Coturnix japonica: one gene and its partners. The protein of the gene in region 7 interacts with the protein of the main gene of each other region in a pairwise test. Links are inferred from orthologs where the notes say so. Each region holds a gene or a part of one and is shown on either strand. Other genes may lie near its edges.

Region 1 (3,500 bases), on a different chromosome or scaffold from region 7:
GCAGGAGAGCTTGGGACTGGCAGCTTGGTGGTACCCAGCAGCTGATGGTGAGCTATGGAGAGAGCTGGAGGAGCTTTCTTTGCTTCCAGGAGGGCTGGGATAAGGTTGTTCCTTGCTAAACTGAACTTTTATTCTTCTCTTTTATTTAATCTTAATAATATTGAGGCAACTGTCATCCACAACTGAGGTTGCTTGGGTTTAAAAAGAAGAAGAAAACAAGGTGGGGGTGGGGGGGAAAGCACTGTGTGTGTAATAAGTTGATCCGGTATAATGTGACATGTGACCTTCTTAGGGGATGTGCCATCTTACCCCACTTCATCGGCTTAAATGCAGTAGATGCACATAATCAGCTGGTACTCGGCTCTAATGGGATTACAGTGACCTGGGCTACGTGTATATGGTATTTACACTGCACGCCCACCAAGGTGCTTTTAGGTTAAATGAGAGCTGGGGTATGAAACCAAGGATTTGACCGTGTTACTCGGTGTCCTTAAACCACCTGCCTGATGGTGGCCCTGTCCTGCTGTGCTTTGCTCCTGCTGTGTGTCTCCATGTGATAACTGCTGTGGGACTGCAGTGTAGGGAGAAGCAGTTCTTAGAGCATAAGACTGCCTCATATTGTGCCAGGGAAGGTTCAGGTTGGATGTTAGGAAACATTTCTTCTCCAAGAGAGTGCTTGGGCACCATCATAGTTGTCTGTTGAGGTGGTGGGGTCACCATCCCTGGAGGGAGCATGGAGATGTGGCACTGAGAAATACAGTGGGGTGGGATGGGGTTGGGGATCTCAGTGTTCTTTTCCAACCTTAATGATTCTCTGGCTGATCATATGTAGGAAAGAGGTGTGAGTGCATCCCATCCAAAACAGAAAGTGAAAGTTCCCTAGTAGATTTAGTACCTGAATATGGTGTGTTTGGAATAACCGAGCAACACTGTAGGACTTTCCTCCTGCTTTTCTTTTTGCTATGGGAAAATGGCCCTTCAAGCTTCTGATGAGGGATGGCCTCCTGCAGTCCCCATGTGCTTCTGTCCTCAGGAAGGAGCTGCTTCTCCCCTTGTTCATGGCAATGAGGTTGGATCTGGAGCCTCGCAGCACCCAACACGTGCAGCAGCGTGGCAAGCCTGGGGAGCTGACCCTCGCCCAGCTCAGTGATTAGCAGGATTGTGCTGCTCCACGCAGCAGAAAGCTGGCCTGTAATTTGCAGCCCAGCTATGAATCAGAGTGACTGAAATTGCTTTTTGCAGCGGTGGGGAGGCGGGGATGGTTTGCAGGTGGGTGGAGGGAAATGCTCCTCTCCCATCTTTTCCCACACCAGTTGTGAGGCTCGTGCTCCAGCAGCACTGTGATTGCTGGGGGGAGGCAGATGCAGATTGTTTGCATCTCTTTTTCTTCCTCTTTTTAACCAGTTTCCTGTACACACATGAGCTGGGGCAGCATCACAGAAGGTCTGCATCACCAGTGCCTGTTGGTCCTGCATCCATACTCCCAACCAGGAAACCCAGAATCACACAGTGCTTACGATCCCATTAATGCTGGGTGGAGCAGCTATTCATAGCAAGTAATCCAGTGACCTGGGCTGCAGGCCACTCTGTGTGGGTTCTGCCCCCAGCCCCTGATGGTTTATTAGCTCTTGGCTTTAAAAATAAACCAGGATCCCTCGGAGCTTTATGAGTAGTTAGTTGTGCTCCGTGGTTATTCTTGGAGTGGAAGCACAATGCTGAGTCCACAGAGAGCTCATGATGTGGTGCTCAGCTCTCTGCTGTCCTTGCCTGGCAGCATCCCAGAGCTGGGAGAGCACAGCAGGAATAGGAGGGTCTTTCTTCATTATAGAGAGGATAAAGGCTGCAGCCCTTGGAGGTATCCCAGCCCCTCTTTCTGCTGAGCAGGTCAGAGTATGAAAAAGGAGGGGATGCTGGTGTTGTACAGAAGGGTTTCAATGGGGCTTCTCTGCTGCTTATTTATAATCCAAACCCTTGCACTGATTTCCTCAGTGCCAGTGGATCCATTGCTCTGCCTCTATGGCACAGGGCACCAGGTAGCAGTGCAGAAGCGGGGTCACAGGTGCTGGAGGGGATCTAATTAGTCCCCTTTGTCCTGAATTTAATGCTAGGCTCATTAAGGGTTCTGCAAAGTTAATCAGCGTGCCACAAATTGGATTTTAATTTTTTTCCCCCCTGGTTCTGCAACCAGAGCAGTGCTGCTGTGGGGATGTGGGTCCCATTAGTGTCCCCGCATTGGCGCTGTGTGTGTATGGAGGGTGTGGGTCTGGCCCTCGAGATGCCGTGTTTAAACTCATTTACCACATGATCAGGTTGATAATTAAATTCATGCGGATCCTGTCAAACCAGCTCCGGAGTTTAACACTTCACTTAAAGTACCAGGGTGCTGTAAAGAAGCAGCAGGAGGAAAAAAAATCACTATTCCCATGGGTGGCTGAGGCTAAACGAAAGAATCCTTCACCTGGCTCCCATCTCCAGGTGTTCCCATAACTATTGAGCAAATGGGAGTGATGAAATGGGCAGCTGGATGTTACTTGATAGGGTGGTTCTGGTTGGAAGGCATCATCCAGTTCCACGGGTCCATTTGGTTTTAGGAACGAGGAGTCCAATGGAAAATAGAAACAAACCTGCAGCCCGCACAGGGCAGTGTGATTAAAGATGTGCATGTTGGTTTGGGGGGTGTGTAATGGGGGGGTGTTTGCACCCTGTGGGATCGTTGCTGGTTTGCAGCTGTTGGGAAACAATGCCGTGCACGGAGCAGCAGGGCTGGGGGGAGAACAGGCAGAGAGTAAAATATCATTGCAAAGAGGAAGTGAAAGCACAGGCATGTGAGTATATAACTAGAAGGACAATTTATGCCCAGGCACGAGTGCAGTTTGACATGGGGATAATGAAAAAACGTAGGTCATTGTGGATGACTTAAGCCTTCACAGCTGAAGAAAATGTATGAAATGCGAGGAACATTACACGCTTGGCAGCTCTGCACATCTGCAGTAGGACAAGTGAAATACAGTTGGCCATTCTTTACCATAAACTGTGGTTGTAGGATATGCAGCACAGAGAAATTGTAATTACAGTGACAAGACAAATCAGTAATATTTAAATATTCATGAACAAAGTCTTGGACGATCAATCTATCTTTATTGTCCTTGCCTTCACTGCCGTAATAAATAAGTAGCTGGAGCTCTCACCTTTCATTCAAATGATTCTGAGTTTGGTGCTGAGCCCAAGTTCATTTATCAGGGTGCTGAGCAGCGCTGCGGGGCTGATGCAGGCAGAGGGCTCTGAGTGTGCAGCACTGAGCTCCTGCAGCCCCACATGCCTGCCATGGGGCTGACCCATATGTGCTTGCAGGTGACCACCCCTATGAATGCGAGTTCTGTGGCAGCTGCTTCCGAGATGAGAGCACGTTGAAGGGCCACAAACGCATCCACACCGGGGAGAAGCCCTATGAGTGCAACGGCTGCGGCAAGAAGTTCAGCCTGAAGCACCAGCTGGAGACC
Region 2 (4,023 bases), on a different chromosome or scaffold from region 7:
TTACAGCAAAGAAAATAATCTCATACTCAACCAGTGACACCATCCTACCCAGCAAAAATCAAATTAAGTACAAATCAAATACTGGGCAGGGTTAATTTCCAGCCTGCATGTTAATCTCAGAGCAATCTCACTGAAGTTCAGAGTATAATCTATGCTACATTGATGTGAAATGGGTGTAGGGTCCACCTCCTTCTTTTGAACTTGATGGAATTCAGCAGGGCTGATAAAGGGCCTTTTTCTTCTGAAATCTGTCATTCCAGTTGGCTGAATAAAAACCATTATGGGGTGTGGACTTCTCTCTTTCTTTTTTTTTTCCTTTCCCTTAATGAAAGGAGCGTTTCATGAGCTTTGAAATAATTTTGCTGTTTCTCCCTTCCGCTGTGCCCTCTCAATGGGGAAATGGAAAATGAAGGGGAAGCCAGGGAAGAGAAGAAGGAAAACTACCAAAGTTGCTTGATATGACACTTGAATATCTTTCTTTTGGATTGCAATATGGCTAATGGAGGGAGAAAGGCATATGTTTAAAACTCCCTTGCAGTTCTTTCTTCTTGCAAGAAGCATTTTGTCCATCTATCTGCAATATACTTAACCTTTCAGATATGTCTCTCAGTTCAGTGCATGTTTATGGGAGGAACACTTGTGTTGCACTGAGAACATGCAATGAAATGGGCATTGGGTGGGCTCTTCTATTTGTCACATAAGTTGTGTTTGCATGGCCTGCAGGAGAACACAGCTCCTGGCTGACTTATATTTCGGGTCAGCTGTGTTCTGGTTGGAAAACATTGGTTGTTTCCAGCTGTAGATGGATGGATCTGACACAAACCCAACATCATCATCAAAATAAAGATAATAGGGGTCTTTTAAGCCTAGTATTATCCCCGTGTTTCCCCTCCCTGTTCTATTGAATGCAGCAAGCCCTCGGGGGAACCCGGTTTAAGAATGCTTTATTCTAGGCATTCATTTGAATGATGACCATAATTATTTCTGTACATGTGTATGACCCAGTTAACAAACCCATCCTCGGCATCCCATGGTCTCTCTGACCCTGCCCATCTCAGCAAGGAGGTAACCTCAGCTCCTGGCAAACTTATTTTTGAAACAAGCGGTCGAACTGGTTACTGCATCTTAATGAAAATCATTTCTTTCTTTCTTTTTTTTTTCTTCCTGAGCATTTCTATGTATATAAACAGCCCTTCCTCCCAAACCTGGTTAGACAAGAATGTTGCTGGGTGTGGACCGCCTTGTATAATTAACTGCACAGCTGTGGCTTCTGATCCCTGGTAACGTCTGTTCCTTTCTTTCCTTCTTTCTCCCTGCCTCTACCTAGCATTATCCAGAGCTCATCTCCTCCTCCTTGCAGGAGCTCCAGGTGCGTCATTTGGGCAGCAGCTTCCCTGCATTCCCCCGTCATTCCTCATTGGGACGGCCAGCAGACAGGCACACGGCCACAGCTGCTTCCAGGGGTCGGGGGAACAGCACTGGGGGGACAGGACAGAGCCGAGGAGCTAAGAAGCCAACCTGCTTTGGTTTGACGATGGAAACAGGGAGTGCAGCAAGGACAAATGGCACTGCTGGGAAGCCAGAGGATGTGAAGAGTCCGTCCGCCCCCAAGAAGGATGAAGAAGTGAAGAAGACGACGAATCCTAGCGGAGGCGAGAAAGAGCCAATAAAGGGCACTGGAGGTACCTCCCTGGAGACCGGACAAATCAAGAGCTCTCTCTTCTCTGGGAGTGACTGGAAGAGGCCCATCATTCAGTTTGTGGAGTCGTCCGATGAGAAGAGATCGACCTACTTCAGCATGGACTCGACAGACTCTAAGAAGATGCCATTTGCCAGCGGACAGATAGGAGACATGAGGAGAACCCCACTCTCCTTTGCAGACAAGGGCGACCTCAGGAAGTCCCTCTTCAACTTGGATTCCAAAAAGAGCTTCTTGCCTAACGAAGGGGAAGGGAGGAAGCCCTTGTTCTCCAGTGGGCAGATAGGGGACATGAAGAAACCATCCATGCCTCTGGTGGAGACGGGAGACCTGAGAAGACCCACCTTCAACAAGGTGCCTGACAGAGCAGCTGGCTCACGGCCCAGGGTGAAGCTGGAGGATGTGCTGTGCGATTCCTGCATCGATAACAAGCAAAAGGCCGTCAAGTCATGTTTGGTGTGCCAGGCTTCCTTCTGCGAGCTGCATCTCAAGCCTCATCTGGAGGGAGCAGCTTTCCGGGACCATCAGCTCCTCGACCCCATCAGGGACTTCGAAGCAAGAAAATGCCCTGTGCATGGGAAGACCATGGAGCTGTTCTGTCAGACAGACCAGATGTGTATCTGCTACCTCTGCATGTTCCAGGAGCATAAGAACCACAGCACAGTGACGGTGGAGATCGAGAAAGCAGGCAAAGAGGTAACATAACACTTCTCTAATTGCTTTTTTTCCCCCCCTAATTATCTTTCCAATGGAACTCAATGTCACTACAGAGCTTTTTCTCTCTATCCTATGGCCTCTCCTAAAATCATGGCTGCAATATAATCCTGGGATGCAAGGGAGGTGGTTGGGAAGGCATACAGATCAGTACTGCTCAAGGTTGTGGTTACAACAGAAAACTGTGATCTCAGCTCCCCGGTGTGAGCTTCTGCTTTCTTGTTTGTATTTTCTGTTATGGAGATAATGATGTTGAGCCCCACCTGTAGGAAAAGTCTTTTGAAGCTTAGATGATGAAAAATACAACTTAGTGCAAACATAGAGCGATTAATTTTTTCCCTGAAGTGTTACTGCAGTCGTCTCAAAAGATGGACATCTAAAGAGATGGGACTGGCGTGTGAACCAGTGCTCTCTCTAATGAAAGTCTTCCACTTTTGTTTGCCTGAATTCTCACTCAAGTTTGCTTTCTGGGTGGATGCACCATTATCCCACTTGCTCCAGTGAATGTCAGGGTCCCACTACATTCAGTTCTCCTCAGGCTGGAGACCTTGTGGTCTATCCAGACAGGGAAGGAGAGATGACAGAAAGGAGACCCATAAAGCGGTCACATAAAACAATTTGCCTAAAGTTACAGCCAGCCCATGGCAGGAGCTGGAAGGGCACCCAGACCTGCTGGATCCCAGCCTTAATCACAGCCCAAGAGCTCTGATGTGGTGAACAGGCACGTACAAGTACCCACTGTTGGAAATTCTTGAGTTACACGTAATTCAGAAGAACAGTTTACAGTGCTAAGAATGTTTAACTCATAAAGCTGGAGGAACATCTCTTTTTTTAGAGCTTTTCTGTCTCTCCTTGCACAGTTTTTGGTGTTCTCATGCAATGCCATCTTCGCCTTGCAGCCTGACTGGAACCAGACAAAGCTTCTCCCTATATTTAGATGAACCTACACCACCTTGATTGTACGTAGGCAAGCAGAGCTGGGTGGAGGAACCTTCACCTAGGATTTAAATGGTGTTTGATTTCTCTCCCAGAGTGTTCGTGCTGTTCTGGTAAGGTCTGTGCTTGCCCTGTGCTGATTCTGCTGCTGCTAAGCCCACAGGATTTAGGGCTTTATCAATGAATCATACACATGTGCAAGTTTCTCCTGACAAGGAGCCTTGGTCGTGTTGTAACTTGAGGGAGTATTCACTCAGACAAAACCAATTAGCAGGAAAGCTGTTGCTTACAAATGTTTATTCCTAGCCCTGAACTATTCTCCATTGGTGGAGCCTTAGCAAGAACCACAGGGAGGGACGAGCGCTGCCAGGTCCCTTGTGTGCATCACCTCTTCTTTTCAAGTCTTGCAAATTGACTGAGCTGGAAGACGACCACAAATTGGTGGAGTGGCAAAGCCTTTCTTTATGGAAAGAGTGAGCAAAAAACCCCACAGTGGGGGAACCCCAACCCCATCGCTGCTGCTGTGGCATCACTTGGCACTCAGCAGGGTAGCTGTAATGCAATAAGGTGTATTATACTCATGTTCTTTCCATACTGCAGAATTAATGCAGTTTACAGCCCCTTCCATGAGGCTGATACAGGCCTGTAGGGAGGAAAGCTGCTGTATTGTGCTG
Region 3 (4,071 bases), on a different chromosome or scaffold from region 7:
AGTCTTCAGCTTCTTGCTCTGGGGCTGAGGGTCCTGTGGGGCAGAGCGGGAGCATTAGGGGGGTGTGGGGTTGTGATGGGGGGGCACAGGGAGAAGGGACACTGCAAAACAACACGGGCACACAAGAAGGGAGCTGAAGAGCCGCAGGGCTGTGCAGGTCCTATGGCCAAACTGAGCTCCCCTGTGCCCATAGTGCAGCACAGGGCAGAGGAACACAGCTGGGATTAACCCCAGCCTGGCTTATAAACATGGCTGCTTTGATTCGTCCGAATGGACAGGGGTCCCCGCGGGCACGGATCGACATCACAGAGCAGCAGCGCAGGGGGCCCTGTTGGTGGGGATAATCCCTCCCTTGCAAGGCAGGCACTGAAAGCTCTCTTTTGTCCTGCCTGTCTCTAACACGGACCGAAGGGAAGCAAAGGAGAGGCTGCCCCATGCGGCTGATTCACTCCCAGTCACCTTTGGAGGGCTCAGATTGTACCTGAGCGGGGACTGAGACCTGGGGAAGGCTGAAGGGGAAGGGATGCCTCGTCCTAAGCTCCATCGCAGCTGATGCCGCCTCCTTTGTCAGCAGCCACAGACTGAAATCACCCATTGATCCCTGTCTCCTCTCGGCCCAGTGCACAGGATGCGTTTTCTGAGCTGCTCATGCGTGACGGGCAGCAGGGACAGAAGGAACAGTGCAGAGCCCAGGGCGGCAGAGGAGGAGCAGCGGGTGGATGAGCCTCAGCCCCCTGCTCACCTCCTGCAGGACATCTGTAGGCCTTGATTTCACCGCACGTTTGGTTCCTGGCTTTGCAGGCTCTTCATCTGAGTCGGAGTCCGACAGCAGCCGGCGGTTCTGGGCCTGCTCCAACATGGCTCTGCAGGGACAGAGGGCAGAGCTGGGGGTGAGGGATGGTCCCTGTGCTCCCTGCTGGATGCTGCTCCCCACTGCTGGAATTCAGCACCAGGACCCAGTCTATGTCCCACACACACACAGCCCTCAGGCCCTGCCCTCACTGCACAGTCATTGGGGTGCTGAGCAGATGGTAAGATGGAGCCCTTCCCCATAGGGCTGGTTTCACACCCATGGCAATGCTTCCAGCCCGCTCACTTCATCTCCTGCTCATCCTCCTCCTGCTCCCTGCGTTTCTGCTCCTCCTCGTATTCCTTGTACTGCTGCAGCATGGCCTCGAAGTCAACGTTTGCCTGGCGCTGGTTGAGCTCCTTCAGCTCCTGTAGGTTCTCCAGAACTTCCATCTCCAGTTTGGAGTCCTTGGTTCGGTTCTCCAGGACCTAAGGAACCAGAAGGAAGCTGGGTCTACACAAGGCAATAAGGTCCAGCACAGCCTCATGAGTGTGGAGAAGCGACGAGGCGACCTGCTGAGCAGGTACAGCCAAACAGGGGAGGAGAGAGCTTTGCCTTCTGCAAACAGCATTTTCCAGTACCTTCATGGGGTTGTTCAGCTCCTCCTCTTCCCTCTCCTTCTGCATCCTCTTCTCCTCTTCCTCCAAGAGCTTCTCAGCTTGGAAATTCCGAGTGGCTCCATGTTCCATGGTGTAATCCGTGTTCTCAGGGTCTGTCTAAGGGAAAAGTAAGGCAGCAAATCTTGGAGCAATTCCACCCCAGTCACAATGTGGGGCAGACAAACACCTGCAGCCTCCTGCTCTGCTCCAGATGGACTCAGGGCTCAGCCTGTGCTGGGACAGCCGTGTTCCCCATCAGACTGAGCTCAGACCCACATCACCTCCCCATGAAGCAGAAGAGGAGAAATCAGTGCCAATATTTCACCTTGAAAGTGGTCTCTGCCAGACACCATGTGCACTTGACGTAGAAGCGGAATATGGGCAGCCCCAGATACACCTCATTCTGAATAGTCTCCTTCTGGGCATTGAACTTCTTCCACTTGTAGATGTATTCACCGCACGTCTTGCAGCTAAAGGAGGAGCCCAACATTAAGAGATAAAAGAGACAGCACAGACCATGAGCACATTCACCCCTTTGGATACGTGGAACCTCCAGCCCCTCTATCACCCATACAGTCCATTCCCTCTCCCTCCTTCCTTCCCTTCTCTTCCTCCTTTCCTTTCCCTTTCCCTTCCTTTCCTTTCCCTTTCCCTTCCTTTCCTTTCCTTTCCTTTCCTTCTCTCCTTTCCTTTCCTTTCCTTTCCTTTCCTTTCCTTTCCTTTCCTTTCCTTTCTTTCCCTTCCCTTCCCCTTTCCTCCCATTCCCTTTCCCCTTTCCTTTCCTTTCCTTTCCTTTCCTTTCCTTTCCTTTCCCCTTCCCCTTTCCCTTCCCCTCCCTCTTCTTCCTCCCTCCCCTCCCCTCCCCTCCCCTTCCCTCTCCTCCCTTCCCTTCCCCTCCCCTTCCATTTGCTGGCTGTATCCCTCAGCTCTATGTAGGGTCTATAACACCCCCCCACCCCTCTCACCGCATGTTGAACGGGGCCATGAGTCGCACCACGTACTGTCGATCCTTCGGGAGCTTCAGCTTCGGGATCTTGGCCGGATCGAAATCCGGCGGGTAATATTTCTACACGGACACAATAGAGCGGCGCACAAACGGACACACGGTCACCGATCAGCTCCTGGCCGGGCCCCGAGGCCTGTCCCAGCCCCCAGAGCGCCCCGTGCCCACCGGGAGCCCTGAGGACGATGTGGGGCCCCCATAGACCCCCCAGGGCACCCACACAGCCCCCAACTCACGTTTAAGACTTTCCGTTCCGACATGGCTGCGCACCGCTCTCAGCTCACAGCGTACACGGAGCTGTCCGCCGCCGCCCTCCGCTTCCGGGATAGGAATCCCGCCCCCTCCGCCTCTCATTGGTGGAGAGAGACGCGGCCTGAAATGATCTCTCGTTTTATTGGTTGATTCTGACGCCAATCAAAGAGCTCAGCCCACTTCCCGGATGTTAGTGTGCCACAGCTTAAGAATCCGCCCTGCGCCGCGGCCTGAAGAAAGGTTCCGGGGTGGAGAGGGGACGGGACGGAGCGGGGGGTGAAACGGGACATGGGGGGGTTGGGCCAAATGGGAACCGAACCGGGACCTGGGGCCCAGGTCAGAACATGGGGGGGGCACAGAGGCTGTCAGCAGCGTGGGGGTCTGGGATGTAGGGCCCAGTGTAGGTGCTGGGGGGCACAGCGCCCTCCTTAGGGACCGTGTGATCTATAGGGCCGATTAAAGCCCCCCTGCCCTCCAGCTGCCCCCACACTGTGCCGGCCCAGCTCAGCGCCCCACAGCATGTATGGCTTTACAGAGAACATCACAAGTGTGGGGCGGGGGCAGAGTCCCGGGATGGTTCATTTATGGGCTGTGTGTGACCAGAGATGGAGCCCCTCCGGTACTGCCCATGCTTGTGTGCCTCAGTTTACCCCATCCCATCCCATCCCATCCCATCCCATCCCATTCCATCCCATCCCATCCCACCCCATCCCACCCCATCCCATCCCATCCCCAAATCCATCCCATCCCATCTCATCTCATCCCACCCCACTCCATCCCACCCATCCCATCCCATCCCACCCCATCCCCATCCCATCCCATCCCAATCCCATCCCATCCCATCCCATTCCATCCATCCCATCCGCATCCCATCCCACCCCATCCCACCCCATCCCATCCATCCCATCCCATCCCACCCCTCGCTGCCTCCCTTGCTCTGAAGGTTGGAAACTCCCCCGGCTGTGCCTGAGAACCAAATCCAGCCTGGGGATGGAGTGACTCAGTGCCTTTGTCTCAAAGGCAGTGATGTCATCTAACCCCTGAGAGCCTGCTGTCCCTCCCCAGCAGAGCCCAGGATGGGAACCTGCCGGCTCCAGCACCTCCGAGGCTCCTGGGCCAACCCTGTGCTTCATCAGCAGGGTGGGAGAGCCCAGTTTATCCCCACAGGCCCCACTGCACCCCACAAAGGCAGCAGCCCATGGCCTGGTGCTCTGTCCTCATCGAGCCCCCCAGCCCAGCACTCCTGTCCTCGCTTTGAGGCCACACAGCTCTGCTTCCACTGCTCCCCGTGCAGTGATGATGGTGGATGGGAGCAGGGTTGTCCTTCCAGGAGCAAATAGGGCCCGGGCTGAGCACAGGAGCTCCAT
Region 4 (3,938 bases), on a different chromosome or scaffold from region 7:
AAATCCTGGCTTAAGAACCAAAAAACCTGTCCTGCCTATGCTCCACCAAAGGCTGGAAAAAAAAAGCTCAGAAACTCTCCGTGCTGTCATGGGCATCAGCACAAGCGGAACAGATAGAGGAGAGAAATGCTCTGTGTGTTGAATAGCAAAACCAGCCAGCAACTTGCACGTGTTACCAAGATGACAGCACCTGTGTCCTTAGGACCACAGCAGGCTTCTATCACTGCATGTCCCTTCTTCCACAGCACCTTGCTCACACCCTCATGGCTGGGTGCCACAGCCTCACCTTCTGCAATGACTAGTCTTTGGGACTAAGGAAGGTTTCAAAATCCTCACTAACACGGGAACATGAAATGAGGGGTAGATATATTTTGCTCAGACTCCCTACAGCCTATGCTGACACAACATATTCATATGTAAGGCTGAGATAACATATAATGGCAAATGTTTTGGAGAATTGGATAGGGCTTTTTATTTTTCATTGCATATTATTTCTGAGCATTACATTCTTGTGGACCACAAGGAAAGGTCCTTGTTTTCCTCTGCCCTATAGAAAGCTGGAAATAGCCCTTTGGAGCCTGTGGTGACACAAGAATAGGACCAGAATGAATACTGAATGGCAGCTTCCAACAAATTCTTTGAAATAAAAAAGCATGAGAATCTGTATTGTTCCTTTTCAGATGCTTTGAGTTGTTATTAGAGAGTACCATCCTCGTTGTAGCTTACTTTGCTTATTCTTGTTTTCTTAAGAGAGATGCATGTGTTGGAATTGCTTTTGACAATCAGATCCAGATGTTTGCTAGGTCAATTTTACATTAATTGACCTTTCTGATTTTCCACGTCAATTTCTGCTGCCATGGCTGGTGGTGAGCAAACACAGACCCCAGAGCATGGTGACCTACCTCCCAGCACCTCGCAGTCGCTGTCAATGCTGTCGTGTACCCCTGCAAAGATGTTGGCCAGCGACGATTTGCCCACACCTTGTTCCCCAATCAGCACCACTCTGTAGCAGTTGCTGCAGGACTCAGAGGAGATGACAGAGTCAGATGACTCCGAGGACCAGCTCCTTCTGTAGTATTCATCAGGACTGATGGTGTATCGCTTCTGCACATTGTACTCATTGGAGTCCTTCTGGACCAACAGGTTCTTCCCATCAGCAGGAATGCTCCATCGCTGCTGCTGCTGCTGCAGGCTGCTGTGGTGGGTGCGACGCATGGTAACGTTGTTGAGGGTCATTTTTTTACCCCTGGTGAGAAATGTGGAAGCCATACACTTTATTCTCAAAATACTTACAAACACACCATCTCAAGGCATCAGGTCCTGCTCTTCTATGGGGATACAGTATGCAACAACAACAACAAAAAAGGAGACTCCACACTTTTGCAGTTGCTAGTACTAGTATGCAAAGAAATATTTCTAGCTTGTGAGTCAGAGGCTTTTTCCTGGGGATGATGCCACCCCCATACACTAATCCTCTCTGTCTTTAGCCTGTACATGTTTCCTGTAGTGCTAAGTGTATGGGCAGGGAAGCACTCAGCAGAGCTCACATATGGCTGCATCCCCATCAAGAGATGGGCAGCACCTGCAGGCAACGCTCCCTGCCCTCCTGCCTCCTGGGGCAAGCAGAGGGACCCATCCCTCATACCTCAAACTCACAATCTTACACAGCTCCCATAGGAGAGGAAAGCCATGCAAGCAAGCACATGTCTTTGGGTCTCATCTATGTCGGGATAAGCTTAAAACAGTGGCTTTCTGGCTGCTAGCAGGGACACAACCAAGTCCAATGACTTTTCAGAGGAGGTATATGTTCAAGCCATTACAGAAGGTGGCACTGGCAGAAAAAGATCATAAGTTTACAAATACTAAATCAGAAACTTCATCTGTTTCACAATTAGCTAATAGGTTAGCTCTTCCAACCTTAGCATGGCCCCTAATTACACTTAAATTAGCAAACTCAGTTTTGAGCGGGTTGGCGGCAGAGCACAGTGATGTCATTCTCACGGGCCACCAGCTACCATTTTTAGGAATGTTACTTCTGTGGCTATTTGGACATTTTGCTTTTTGGAGTATATCTGAATTTTATCAGCTCTGTTCTCCATGTCAGTAGGCAGGAGAGCTGCCCATGAAATGAACTTTCAAACTTGAATAACAAGCGGTGAATGAAAACAAGCACAGCAACACATGAAAACAACATGTTCGGATCACTACTCCTTTTCACACAAAGCTATCTGAAAACTTCTTAGAATGAACATAGATCAGGCTGGAGAATAAGCAGACCAAAACCACTTTCTATCTGATCTTATTACAGCACTCACAGTACTTACTCTGTGACACGCAGTGCTTAGTGGCAAAACTAGATTCTGACAAGAAACTAGGCATCAAGCAAAGCCTGCTTCACAAAGTCAGATAGGAACCGCAGTTTGATTTACCATGCATTACTTTCTTTCAGTTTCCCCAGTGAAAAGACCAGATGAGAAAAAGCAATTCCAATTCAGTCAGATATCAGAGCCCAAACAAATGATGACCATCAATAAACAATCACGTCGCAGTCCAAGCCCAGGTTTGATGGCATGCACTGCACTCAGCTGTGTGGGTCTACAAAGCCACAACAAACCCCACAGACACAGGACCCAATGCACAGTGGCCAGAGATTCCTTACTTGTATGTGACCGTCCACGCTGTCAGCTCCGGATTCGCGCTGCCTTCCGCTCCGTGGGCTGTGTTACACTGAGCTGCTCTGCCAGAGTAAATCCCCTCCCGCTTACGGGCTGCCTCTTTAATTCCTTCTCAGCGAACCTGGTTTATATTAAGCCCATCTGATCGGAGACAGGGCTTTTCCGTGACGTGGTTGGCCTTTCCATCCAACAGCCAACCCCCAACTGGGAGGAAGCAGACATGCAGAAAAGCAAAAACTTACAAACAGCCTCAAAAGACTTACTTGAAATCATATGATTGTCTTGGTGTTGCCAGTAAAACAAACACATTTGGGGCTGACATGAGGAAAACAGGCAAGTGGAAAAATTAAAAAAAAACATGTCCTTCCATCTTGCTCAGTTCTGCATTCAAACGCCAGCAGGATTAATGGTGTTTTTAAAACTACGTGTTTCATTAATGAATATAATGCAGTAAATGTGTGATGTTCTCTGTCTGCAAAATGCAGTTAACTCCCCACTGGACAAGATGTTTTTTTGTGGAATAAAAGATCTGAATATCATTTTAGAATTATCTCACAAGCATGAATATTATTCTGTTGTTGTTTTGTTTTTTTTGTTTTGTTTTGGTTTGGTTTATTTGTCTTTTAAAGAGATCCAAAACATACAATCCTACTTTTTCCATCACCTTCCAAGGCTCTACCAGCCATCTCCCACCCCTGCTGCAGCACTCCTCCTGCAAGGGCTCAACAGAACGGCTGCCCACAGACTGAGTGCTGCTCCAGCTGGACGCCAGCAAAGACGGATGTGAATTACAGAGCACAGAGCCCGGGCGACACGGTGCAGATTCTGTCTGCAGTTTATTAGGAGAGATGGCTATACAGTGTATGCACCACAAAGCATGTGCCTGCTCCTCAAATGGTGCCATTTCTAACAGCCTGTGTGGAAATCACAATTAACAGAGCAAAGAAATAAACCTCCACAAAATACTTGGTAGGGATACCATCAGTTATACAGAAGTCTACAGCAAACTCCCACTATTTTTCCTTCTTTTTCCAAACCTGTGACTGCCCTTCCCCTGGCAGCTGAGCTTTAGCACCAGCGCTGTGCAGGGTGGAACATCCCTTCCCTTGGTACTGCCTGGCACTCATGTCACAGACTTCTGCATTTTTGTGTCTCACATAAGCCTTGTACAGAACATTTCCTCTGATAATGCAGCCCTTTATGAAACTCTTCCACTGAGATATGCCTGATTTCTCTCCCCTTCAGCTTTGTTGCACTTCTGCA
Region 5 (3,442 bases), on a different chromosome or scaffold from region 7:
GCACTGCGCTCCCTGGGCTCAGGGTGACCCAGGCTGGATGTGGAGCTCTGGGCCGCGCTGCTCTCATGTCTCCTGTTTTTCTTTAGTCCCACTGACCGTCTGGTTGTCTGTGCAATATTCTCTGTTTATTCCGGAGCCTTTTGTAGCTGGGGTGGAAAACCAGGAACAATTCTAACATCTGTAGTTTTGTAACTTTCTCCAAACCTTTTACAGACTTGCAGTTAACAGCAATTAAAGGAATTCCGCACTCACCACTGTGTCCTCCTTCCTTTTCCCCTGCCCTGGGCTGGGGGCAGCTGCCTCAAGGGGATCAACTGCTTTATGTTTCTGCTTTCCTCCCCCTCATCCCAAGGGAAGTTTGCCTACAGGGGGTGGGAACATGGGGCTGCTTGGTCTGTTCTGTTCCCTGCTGAAGGCCGGGGGTTGGGAGGGGGCAGGTAAAAATGGCCTAAAGTGAAGCAGCCCTCAGCTCTGCCTTGGCAGCACACGTGAGGCCGAACACGTGGGAAACACATCCAAATTTATTGGCATCCTCGAAGCAATCTGTCCCCGGGGGGGAGCAGCCGAGCGCTCCTCAGGGTCCGGCCAACCAGGGGTGTCTGCTGAGCCGCTCCACCGACGGCCGCAGCACCATGTCTGGCTCCAGGAGCCTCTTCAGGAGGTCCTGGCACGGCCTGGAGACCTCCAGGTGCCTGGGCAGGGAGACGCCTTTCTGCTGCTGGCACAGCATCTGCGGGATGTTGGTGTCGTCGAAGGGCAGGTGGGCGCACAGCAGGACGTAGAGGATGACGCCCAGGCTCCAGATGTCGCCCTTGCAGCTGTCGTGGGGCACCCCCTGCAGCACCTCGGGGGCCGCGTAGGCCACGCTGCCGCAGAAGGTTCTGCTCAGCTCTCGGCTGCCCACGGGGAGCTGCTTGGCGAAGCTGAAGTCCGTCAGCTTCACGGTGTGTCCCTGCAGCAGCGCGTTCTCGCATTTGAGGTCGCGATGAGCCACCCCGCAGCCGTGGCAGTAGCGCAGCGCCTCCACCAGCTGGCAGAACAGCTCCCTGGCGCAGGGCTCGGGCAGGGGACCCCTGTGTGCCACGTAGTCGAAGATGTCCCCGTTCTCGGCCAGCTCCATCACGAGGCAGATATTCCCCTCCGCCGACTCCAGCACCTCGTACACGTGGATGATGTTCTTGTGGTCCAGGCGCTCGATGATTTGGAGCTCCCGGGGCAGGAACTTCTGAATGAACTCTGCCAAGAGGGGGAAAATTCACTCAGTTCCTGAGCTGCTGAGCCCCGGCATCGCACCGGGCTGCGGCCACAAAGTGGGAAGGAAGAAGGGTTGTGCCAGGGTGCCTGGCTCCAAGCAGGGCCCTTGTCGGAGGGGTCTGAGCTGTGCTGCTTTTGGCCACCTTATGGCTGGAGGAGCCGGATGGACACCCCATGGCCTGGCTGCTCCGAGCTGCCCCCAGCACCTCCCTGCCCCCAGCACCTCCCTGCCCTTCCTGCTCTTGGGTGGAAAGTTTGGGAAACTCATTTTCTGCCTGGAACTAAAAGCTTCCAAGGAGGGGTCGGTACCTGGGAGCTCTTCAGGGGCAACTTCTTACCTTCTGGACTCGCCCTTTTATCAATGATTTTAATTGCTACTTTCTTCTGGTGCTTTTGGGAAAAGGCCTCCTTCACCTTGGAGTACGTTCCCTCCCCAATGGTTTGGCCGAGCTGGTATCCGCTGGCGAGCAAAAACTCCTCCATGTCCTCTCACAAATCGGGGCCGTTCAATCTCAGTTTTACCCCCAGCAACTCGACAACAGCATCGCAGCAGCCAGGGGCTCCCCGTGCTCCCTGTTGGCACGTGTAGAGCCACCAGGCCCTGCTCCTGCCCTGGTGGGAAGGGGCATCGAGGCGCCTGTTGTAGCATGGGCGTGTTATTGTGATGCAGCCGATGCTGCATGAATCCCAGATGACGGAGGTGCATCAAAGTGGGCGACAGCTCGGCCAGGCAGGGGGGAATTGGGCTGTGCTGGGCAGGACCTGCTCGGTGGGCACCGTGAGTACAGGGGGGTCACAGGGTCCATTCTGTTCCTCTCCCGTTTTCATCGGGGTGTGGCGGGGGGGCTTTAGGAGCTGCTGCTCACACAACACTTTGCTGCTGCAGGGAGGGGACCCCAGGCTGCGCCCATGAGCTCAGAGCTGTGCTCACACCGACCCACCGCGGCCTCACGTCTGAGCTGAGTGTGTCCAGCTGCTCCGGCGCCTGCAGCCCAACCAGGCCGGGCTCCTTCACAGCAGGAAGGTGCCGGTGCCGGGATCGCAGCCAGGCCCCGCTGCAGCTCCCAGCTGCTTCTCCCTGTGCAGAGAAAACCGGGCCGGGCCATGAGCTCCCAGGAAGCGCCGCGGGCCCGGAGGTTCCCCATCGAGGCGGGCGACTGTTGTAGTGCGGCCGCAGCTTTGGAGACACAGCAACGGGTGGGCACAGCGTGGACTGCGGGCAGGTGAGGGTCCAAAGGGGCTCCTGTGATGCTGCAGGTTGTGCTGTACTGTGCTGTACTGTACTGTGCTGTACTGTGCTGTGCTGTACTGTGCTGTACTGTACTGTACTATGCCGTACTGTGCCGTGCTGTGCCGTCCCTCTGACCCCTGTCTCCCCGCAGGCAGTTGCGGCGCTGTCCCGCCAACCACCGCCTGACGCTGCCGCACATCCCCATCAACGTGTTCATCGCCATGGGAGGGAACTGCCGGCCCCGCAGCACCTGAGCGGCCCGTGATGTTTATGCACTTTGTAAAGAAAGGCCCATCCTAACGCGATCCCCGCCTGCTGCTCCTTGTGTGTCCGGCCGTGCGGCCCAACGCGTCCCGTGGGCTCCCGGGGCCGCCGCTCCCGGCTCAGCTCGGCCCGGGACGGAGCTCGGGGCTGGGGGGTGCAATGGGGGGGGTCGTGTCGGCGCGTGGGCACGTGGCGGGACACGAGGATCCACGCGGGACCCGCGGCCGCGAGTTGAAGCCCGGCCCCGCCCCGTGACCCCGTTCGGGGCGTTGCTCTCCGCTCTCGTCCCGCCGCGGTCCCTCTCGGCCGCCGTCCGCCGCTCCCCGCCCTCCCGCTGCCGCCGCCATATTGTGGCCGCCGCCGGAACGTCCGTGTCGGGATCCGCGATGGGTGAGAGCGGCGGGACCGGGCGGGGCGGGATCGGTACGGTACGAGACGGCGGGGCTGCGGCCGTGTCCGCACTTGGCGCTGCCGGGCGCTCGGTTGGCGGCACTGACTCAGCCCGGGGCCGGCAGCCCCAGCGCGGCCGTTGGGCTCCGGGGCGGCGGCGGCCGGAGCTGCGGGAACCGCGTGTCGGTTGTGTCCGTGTGTCTGTCGGTGTCTATCCGTGTGTGTCCGTGTGTGTCCGTGTGTGTCCGTGTGTGTCTGTGTCTGTCCGTGTCCGTCGCTCTTTGGGCCGTCCCGCGGTTCCGC
Region 6 (3,500 bases), on a different chromosome or scaffold from region 7:
ATCACATGGGCTTGGAGGGGAAAAAAATGCACAATAAGTACATATAATACTGCTTTTAGTATTGATTCTAAGGAAGAATGAATTGGAATATAAGAAGTTCTTTAAAAGAGAAACCAAAGATCCTGAAACAAATGTTAGAAGTGACATTACCTTCACTATTCTAATACTGATCTGTTTATTTTAGGGTGGTGCTTTATCATTGTATACAGCCCTTACAACACATCAGAAGTTAGCAGGTGTTGTAGCCCTCAGCTGTTGGCTTCCTCTACGGACTTCTTTTGTTCAGGTATTTATTTATTCTTTCTGAAGCAGTTTTGCTGAGGCAAAATGAGTGTATCTGAATGCTGTATCTTCAGACTGCAGCTGGATAACTCAGTCATTCTCAGAGTAGGGCACTGGGGGTTTAAATTCTGGCAAGAAGGGGAATTGAAGAAGTACTCAGTGGTTACATCTGCTTAACATGGTATTCATATGATATCTCACCCCACTTATTTCCTCCTTCTTCTCTTCCCACCCTGGACAGGGTGCTGTTGGTGTCAACAAGGAGATTCCTGTACTTCAGTGCCATGGGGACTGTGACCCACTTGTTCCTTTAATGTTTGGTTCTCTTACTGTTGAGAAGCTAAAGACTATGATAAATCCAGCCAATATAACCTTCAAAACTTACTCTGGCATGATGCATAGTTCATGTATTGAGGTAATTTTCTTAATATAAATGTTTTAGCTAAGTATGATTTTACTTTTTCCTAACAATTACAGGGCATTTTAATTTAATTGTATTTTTTTCTATTAAAAGTTTGTGATGCCACTGACTTATTTTACTGTTTAACTCAATGCCTGTCTGAAAAAACATCCAAGGGAAAAGTTCATATGACCAGTGGGAAATTCCTCAGAGGAATGTATTTTTGGGGCTGGGATGGCTGAGCTATAAAACAATCTTATTTCTAATTTGTTTTCCTAACCTGTGTTAATCACATTAATAATTATTGAATTAGAAGGCAGATAGAATTCTCGCAGTGCCAATGCAACTTGGTATTTCAAGGAGAATTTTGCATGGTTTTGAATGGAGACATCAGAAAAATGTGGAAGGAGGGCTGATATTAGGGAAGTGGCAGCCTCAAAACATGCTTTTATGGCTCTGGATCAGCAAACAGTTGAGTTGATTTAATAATTCAAATGTGTAAATATGTGCTCCTTCTTATAACACTTAGTACTATGTGAGTAAAGAGTGAAATCTTTATCAGTGACATCAATGATGTAATCGATTGCACCCTCAGCAAGTTTGCTGATGACACCAAGCTGAGTGGTGCGGTTGATACGGAGGGAGGAAGGGATGCCATTCAGAGGGACCTTGACAGACTTGAAAGGTGGGCCTGGGTGAACCTAATGAGGTTCAACACGGCAAAGTGCAAAGTTTTGCACTTGGGCCGGAAGAACCCCAGGCACCTGTACAGACTGTGAGGAGTGGTTCTTGAGAGCAGCTCGGCAGAGAAGGGCCTGGGGGTCCTGGTGGACAAGAAACTTAACATGAGCCAGCAGTGCACTCCTGCAGCATGGAAGGCAAATGTTATCCTGAGCAGCATCAGGAGAGGGGTGGCCAGCAGGGACAGGGAAGTGATTGTCCCTTTTTACTCTGCTCTTGTGAGGCCCCATCTGGAGTACTGTGTCCAGGTATGGAACCCTCAGTACAAGAAAGACATGGAGCTGTTGGGAAGGGTCCAGAGGAGGGCCACAAAGATGATCAGGGGGCTGGAGCACCTCTCCTATGAAGACAGGCTGAGGGAGCTGGGCTTGTTCAGCATGAAGAAGGCTGCGGGGTGACCTCATTGCAGCCTTTCAGTACCTTAAGGGAACCTACACCCAGGACGGGAGTCAACTCTTCGAAAGGGCTGATAATAGCAGGGCAAGGGGACATGGATTTAAGTTGAAAGAGGATAGATTTAGGTTGGATGTTAGGGGGAAGTTCTTTACTAGGAGAGTGGTTAGGCCCTGGAACAGGCTGCCCAGGGAGGTTGTGGATGCCCCGTCCTTGGAGGTGTTCAAGGCCAGGTTGGACGGGGCCCTGGGCAACCTGATCTAGTAAAGGTGTATGTTTGGTGGCCCTGCCAGGCAGGGGGGTTGGAACTACATGATCCTTGAGGTCCCTTCCAACCCGGGTCATTCTGTGATTCTGTAAAGATACATTTAGTGCCTTGAAGAGTTAGCAGTGTTGACTTGCTGTGATTAAAACATGCAAATGTGATTAAAACATGTCAAATAACTAATTAAACATTCAACAGCCCAGCTGCTCACAATAATTGAAATTTTGAAACATTATGTGTAGTAAATGTGTATTAACAAAGAACTTGACTCATACGTACCTTTATCTTTGAACAGGAAATGATGGATATAAAGCAGTTCATAGACAAACATCTACCCCCTGTGGACTGAAATGATATGTGAGAAGCCTTCTACGTAAACACCAGCATCAACTGTGGTAGAGTTAGTCTTTTCACATGCCTGATAAGAAAGCATTACTTCTGTACCTGCAGTGTTACTACTGTGTTGCAAATCAATACTTAAGGAGTAAATTTTACACGTATGCAAGAAATGATAATCTTTCTAGTGTTGATCACCCACTGATGGAATTGAAAAATGATGCAGCTAGGTAACAGTGATGGAATGTAACCTGAATGTAACTATTTTAAGACTTCTGAATGCAGAATTTTGAACTATTTGTACAATCAAAGACTAAACTTACGTGAGCAACATAAATGTGACCAGTTTAGTATACTTGAGACATGATTTGTTCTTAGTACTCGTTGGAAATAAATTAAAACATTTCGTGTATGTAATGGATGTATGAAGTACACAACATGTAACAAAGTGAGCATATGATTGTAGAATAAATGTTACTGAGGACAAAGCTTTAAATGTTAAGCATTAATTGTTGCTCCAAATAGGAAGGGCTTTTCTTCTAGGACGACTATTACAGTCAATAGAAAGATTTCCTGTATTTAAAACGCCTCAGTTTTAAATGTTTTCATACAGGTAGATACCGTAGAAATTATAAAGGTACTCATTCCTCGTTAGACCATCGTTTGTTGCTGTGCTGCTGCCATTTGTTTTAGATCACTATAAATTGATGCCAAATGAAATGCTGACTCGAACAGAATTCTGAAGAAGCGCGTAGGAATAATTTGAATTTTGTTTAAAATTTCTATTTTCATATTGAATATTCACTCTATACTTTAAAGATGTAGCTTTCATTCATGTAGAAATGTCGATGATGTATTTTACATGAGCTATTCCACTCCTGCTGTGGAGTAACTAAATGAAAGCGGTGCAGCTGTGTAGTTTGTAGTTTTGTGTATTGCTGAAGTCTCATCTGTAACACATTCTTACCACCCACTACTTTCTTTACTTTATACTGACACTTGAGATTTGTCTGGGAAAGAACACAATGTTATTTTCAATTGTATGATTTTACATTTCTCTGGATTCTTGTAGCTTAAAAATAT
Region 7 (3,500 bases):
ACCTTCTCCATCTGTAGCGTTCAGTTCAATGCGCCTCTCCACTGGCAGTGCGTTTTCATTCTGGCTTGCTAACAGCTCTGGGTTTTGAGCAGCTGCTACATACTTGCTGTACCATTCATTTCTTTCCTTGACCAGACGCATCACTAAATCCTGCAGTTCCAGTAATTTTACCTGCACCAAAGCAAAGGAAAACTTAAGCAGCGTGCATATCCAGCTTGCTGTTTTGCCACTGTTAAAACTTCAAAATTAAAGCCAGCTCAAGAACAACAAAGGAAGGTTTACATTGTGCAGGTATCCCCCAGGCCTGCCTATAAGTGTATGCTGTGTCTGTAGTACTACAGAAGAGATTCCTTGCCTTCATCTCCTCCTTATCCTGAGCCAGCCTGCTGATGTACTCCTCTTTCTCCTGGTGCCGCTGTTTAAGGATAGCCCTTTGACTCTGGTATAATGCTATATATTCCCCTGGAACACAAGAGAAGCATAAGGAATAAGTGAGATTGATGTACAAGCCATACTGTGAGCATAAACCTATGCTGCCTGAAGATCCAGCTGTGGATTGGAAGCCTAGCATAGCTAGGTAGCAAGACTTGAACCATTCGGCATGTGGCAGACTCAGATCCCAAAGCCCAGGTTTGTGTTGTGTTGTATAAACGTACCAATGGTGTCTGTTTCCCCAGACAGCTGTATGCAGCGATGTTCCAGCTCTTCCAGCCGTTCCTTCAGATCAGCTTTCTCCTGTATCAGATCTGTGAAACGGGCCTGGACACAAAAATTGGTGTGAGTCACCTCAGCTGCTCACATATGGGAATACCCGTGTTAAAGACAGCACCCTCCATTCACAGCTGTCTGAGCCCAGGGAACAAATTGTGCTGCCTTTACAACTACTCTGATTTGGCAGTAAAAAGGAACAGAGCTACAGAAGGCAGAGCAAAGCATCTCTGCATATTGGGAAGCAGAAGGACTGAGGGAACAAAGTGCCTTCTCATTGCTGGGCCAGCACAACTGTGGTCACACTTAGTCTGCAGATCTTGGAGAGATCTGCTTCGTCTCAGCACGGTGAAGTCTGTCTATTTTTCATCTACTTCTTTAGGAAGAGACCAGGAATGGGCATTAGGCCCTTACAGTCTTTGGGCAGGGCAGGGGAAGCTCAGCTATGATGAGACAAGTCATGAGGAAAGCCACTTCTTAGGAATTAGGTTATTATCATGGAACAGCTGCTACTTATTCCCCTGCAACACGTGTGTGATTCAAGAGTCTGGCACTGGGTGCAAATTGAGCTAAGTGAGGCAGAGGGGCAGAAAGAGGAGACCCTTTGCTTACCTGTAGTTTCTCCATGGCAGTTTTTAAAGCCTCATGAACCTCTACTGGAACACTACCCATAGTGGAATCTGGAAAGGACATTTGTAGTTGACAGTGCCTGCTTAAGCATGATTCGTTCACAAAACCCATAGGACTGTTTCACAGAGGTCAGGGCCAGGTTGGGGCACATCTCCATACTCACACTGTACCCAAGATTTACCTTCACTCAGTGTGATGTTACGCTGCTGCTCCTGCCGAAGAGCTGCTATTTGCTGCAGGAGGTTTCTGCACTGCTGCTTCTGAGCAGCCAACTGTTGCCTCATCTCTTCTCGTTCCTTCTCCACTTGGGACATGGCAGACGTCAAGAAAGTCACCTGAAGTGAATTGCAAAGGACTCACGTTAGTGATTGTCCTGTGTGAAGTGTGATCAATTGTGCATCTCATGGTAAGGGGAATAACAGAAATTAACCCCATTTTACTTATGGATAGGAAACCCGTCAGACCAACCCAGGCAGCAACTACTGCGTGTCTTGTCAAGTAGCACAAACCGTTTCTTCTCTGCAGGTGAAACCTGAATTCCCACTGTTTGATCACAGTATTTTCCGCTTACAAAAACAAATTAGTGACGTTCAACACCACTTCCTAATTGCCTTCCAAAGTGAGGAGAACATCAATCATCACAATAGTTAGAGCCACTCTGCCAGCTGGCTTGTCTTTGTAATTAACCATTGCTGGACTTCCAGCTTGTTTTTCAACCATACTGTAGAAATCCTCTTGGTTCTTTTGCTGCTGTGTGAAGGGGACTGTAGCAGTTCTCTGTGCCTCAACTGCGGGGAGCACAGCTGGTAAACAACTTAATACACACTGCAGAACCTCTGCAATTCAATCTGCCTCCTCTCCTAGACATTTGTTCACAACTGAGAACAAAGGCTTTTCTACCCATTGAGACCCACCATTTCTTCATGGCTTTCAAACTTCTCTGGGATCACAAACGAAGGGTTTTTCACTTCTTCAGCCATCACTTCACTTTCAATTCCATCTCCTGGAAAGGAAGGGAGGTGAACAATGAGGTGAAAATACCCCTCAGAGCCCAGTTCCACCTCCCGTCCCTGGAGGGCAGCTGCAGCTACGCACCTTCTAGTCTGTGCAGCATCCTGCCATCCAGCTCTGCTGCTAACTGACTGATCTGGGCCTGCAGCTCTTTGTTTTCTTTTGCTACAACTTCCAGACTTTCCTGCAAGTCAGAAGCAGAACGTCAGTGAGAAAAGCTCCTCACCGAAACCCGCACAAACCAAACTGAAAACAGTCACTAGCAACAGCACCACAGAAACAAGCACACAAATAGCCACAATTATCACTTGTCTCTAATTCACCTCTATTGCACAGGATGTGGTGCAATTAAGCATTTTGCCTCCAGTCTTTCCACTTGCCCCTCTTTTATTACCTTCGTCTGCTGCAGTTCCTTCAGGTGCATTTCCACTGTCACCTTCCCCTGAACTTCCTCATGCTGCAGCCTGTCCATTAGCTGTGTCTGAAGCAAGTATTGCTTTTGCAGCTCCTCCTTCTCAGCAGCCAGTTGCTGGTATGCCACAGTGTACTGCTGTAAGTGGCCATAGAACTGATCCCGCTGCTCCTGCAGAGCCCGAGCCTCCTGTGTTTTCAGTTCCAGCTAACAACACATGATACAACACATGAAACAACCATCAGATCAAATCATTTCTGCCAGAAAAAGATGACAACTCGTGTGGCACCATCCAAACTGTCAATGCTGCCCCAAAGCCACCACCGAGGCCGGCAGCCACCATCTGTCCCCACATGCTGGTCCCCCGCATCAGACAGCAGGTGACACGGGAGGGCTCCCAGCTTGATCATTAACAATACCAATTTCCATCTTTCCATCAAAGTTTGGTAAGTTGCCAGCTCTCCTGTGCACAAACTGTTGCACACCTGCCCTGCTGTCCCTCTGCTGTTGCTTACCGTCTCTTTGAGCTCCCCCAGGTTCTCCTGCAGCTGCCCAATCTTCTTAGCCAGCTCCTTCTTTACGTGTTGCTCTGACTGCAGGGCACTTGTAACCTCCATGTTTTCATTTGTCTGCAAGAATCAAAAGCATCATAGAAGGAAACTGCCCCAATCACCATAAGTATTTGCTCACATAAGCTAAATCAGTAAACCACATTAATTCCTGATACAGTGGGATACCA

The links.
Region 1: the proteins of GOLGA2 (region 7) and ZBTB16 interact in binary tests that used the Homo sapiens proteins (3 or more experiments, as listed by UniProt). The two-hybrid records come from large-scale screens. The link is inferred for Coturnix japonica from reciprocal best matches to the Homo sapiens genes GOLGA2 and ZBTB16.
Region 2: the proteins of GOLGA2 (region 7) and TRIM29 interact in binary tests that used the Homo sapiens proteins (3 or more experiments, as listed by UniProt). The two-hybrid records come from large-scale screens. The link is inferred for Coturnix japonica from reciprocal best matches to the Homo sapiens genes GOLGA2 and TRIM29.
Region 3: the proteins of GOLGA2 (region 7) and YJU2 interact in binary tests that used the Homo sapiens proteins (3 or more experiments, as listed by UniProt). The two-hybrid records come from large-scale screens. The link is inferred for Coturnix japonica from reciprocal best matches to the Homo sapiens genes GOLGA2 and YJU2.
Region 4: the proteins of GOLGA2 (region 7) and GEM interact in binary tests that used the Homo sapiens proteins (3 or more experiments, as listed by UniProt). The two-hybrid records come from large-scale screens. The link is inferred for Coturnix japonica from reciprocal best matches to the Homo sapiens genes GOLGA2 and GEM.
Region 5: the proteins of GOLGA2 (region 7) and TSSK3 interact in binary tests that used the Homo sapiens proteins (3 or more experiments, as listed by UniProt). The two-hybrid records come from large-scale screens. The link is inferred for Coturnix japonica from reciprocal best matches to the Homo sapiens genes GOLGA2 and TSSK3.
Region 6: the proteins of GOLGA2 (region 7) and LYPLA1 interact in binary tests that used the Homo sapiens proteins (3 or more experiments, as listed by UniProt). The two-hybrid records come from large-scale screens. The link is inferred for Coturnix japonica from reciprocal best matches to the Homo sapiens genes GOLGA2 and LYPLA1.

What each region holds. Positions count from the first base shown.
Region 1 is NC_029539.1:3,817,701-3,821,200, reverse strand, and holds part of ZBTB16 (zinc finger and BTB domain-containing protein 16), read left to right. Parts: intron 1-3,351; coding exon 3,352-3,500. UniProt on the Homo sapiens protein: Acts as a transcriptional repressor. Transcriptional repression may be mediated through recruitment of histone deacetylases to target promoters. May play a role in myeloid maturation and in the development and/or maintenance of other differentiated tissues.
Region 2 is NC_029539.1:3,276,284-3,280,306, forward strand, and holds the start of TRIM29 (tripartite motif-containing protein 29), read left to right. Parts: upstream 1-1,223; 5' UTR 1,224-1,280; exon of another isoform or gene 1,281-1,360; 5' UTR 1,361-1,534; coding exon 1,535-2,395; intron 2,396-4,023.
Region 3 is NC_029543.1:756,138-760,208, forward strand, and holds the start of YJU2 (splicing factor YJU2), read right to left. Parts: upstream 2,801-4,071; 5' UTR 2,713-2,800; coding exon 2,689-2,712; intron 2,516-2,688; coding exon 2,415-2,515; intron 1,920-2,414; coding exon 1,775-1,919; intron 1,567-1,774; coding exon 1,432-1,566; intron 1,279-1,431; coding exon 1,097-1,278; intron 864-1,096; coding exon 743-863; intron 34-742; coding exon 1-33.
Region 4 is NC_029517.1:114,174,241-114,178,178, forward strand, and holds the start of GEM (GTP-binding protein GEM), read right to left. Parts: upstream 2,801-3,938; 5' UTR 2,660-2,800; intron 1,247-2,659; 5' UTR 1,237-1,246; coding exon 903-1,236; intron 1-902. UniProt on the Homo sapiens protein: Could be a regulatory protein, possibly participating in receptor-mediated signal transduction at the plasma membrane. Has guanine nucleotide-binding activity but undetectable intrinsic GTPase activity.
Region 5 is NC_029538.1:4,558,886-4,562,327, reverse strand, and holds TSSK3 (testis-specific serine/threonine-protein kinase 3), read right to left. Parts: upstream 2,046-3,442; 5' UTR 2,033-2,045; coding exon of another isoform or gene 1,997-2,032; 5' UTR 1,996-1,996; coding exon of another isoform or gene 1,946-1,995; 5' UTR 1,830-1,945; coding exon of another isoform or gene 1,738-1,829; coding exon 1,593-1,737; intron 1,237-1,592; coding exon 575-1,236; 3' UTR 501-574; downstream 1-500. UniProt on the Homo sapiens protein: Serine/threonine protein kinase required for spermatid development and male fertility.
Region 6 is NC_029517.1:99,796,605-99,800,104, reverse strand, and holds part of LYPLA1 (acyl-protein thioesterase 1), read left to right. Parts: intron 1-184; coding exon 185-286; intron 287-523; coding exon 524-697; intron 698-2,376; coding exon 2,377-2,430; 3' UTR 2,431-3,500. UniProt on the Homo sapiens protein: Acts as an acyl-protein thioesterase. Hydrolyzes fatty acids from S-acylated cysteine residues in proteins such as trimeric G alpha proteins or HRAS.
Region 7 is NC_029532.1:3,750,313-3,753,812, reverse strand, and holds part of GOLGA2 (golgin subfamily A member 2), read right to left. Parts: intron 3,391-3,500; coding exon 3,277-3,390; intron 2,969-3,276; coding exon 2,744-2,968; intron 2,534-2,743; coding exon 2,434-2,533; intron 2,342-2,433; coding exon 2,253-2,341; intron 1,674-2,252; coding exon 1,520-1,673; intron 1,389-1,519; coding exon 1,321-1,388; intron 760-1,320; coding exon 657-759; intron 463-656; coding exon 356-462; intron 172-355; coding exon 3-171; intron 1-2. UniProt on the Homo sapiens protein: Peripheral membrane component of the cis-Golgi stack that acts as a membrane skeleton that maintains the structure of the Golgi apparatus, and as a vesicle thether that facilitates vesicle fusion to the Golgi membrane.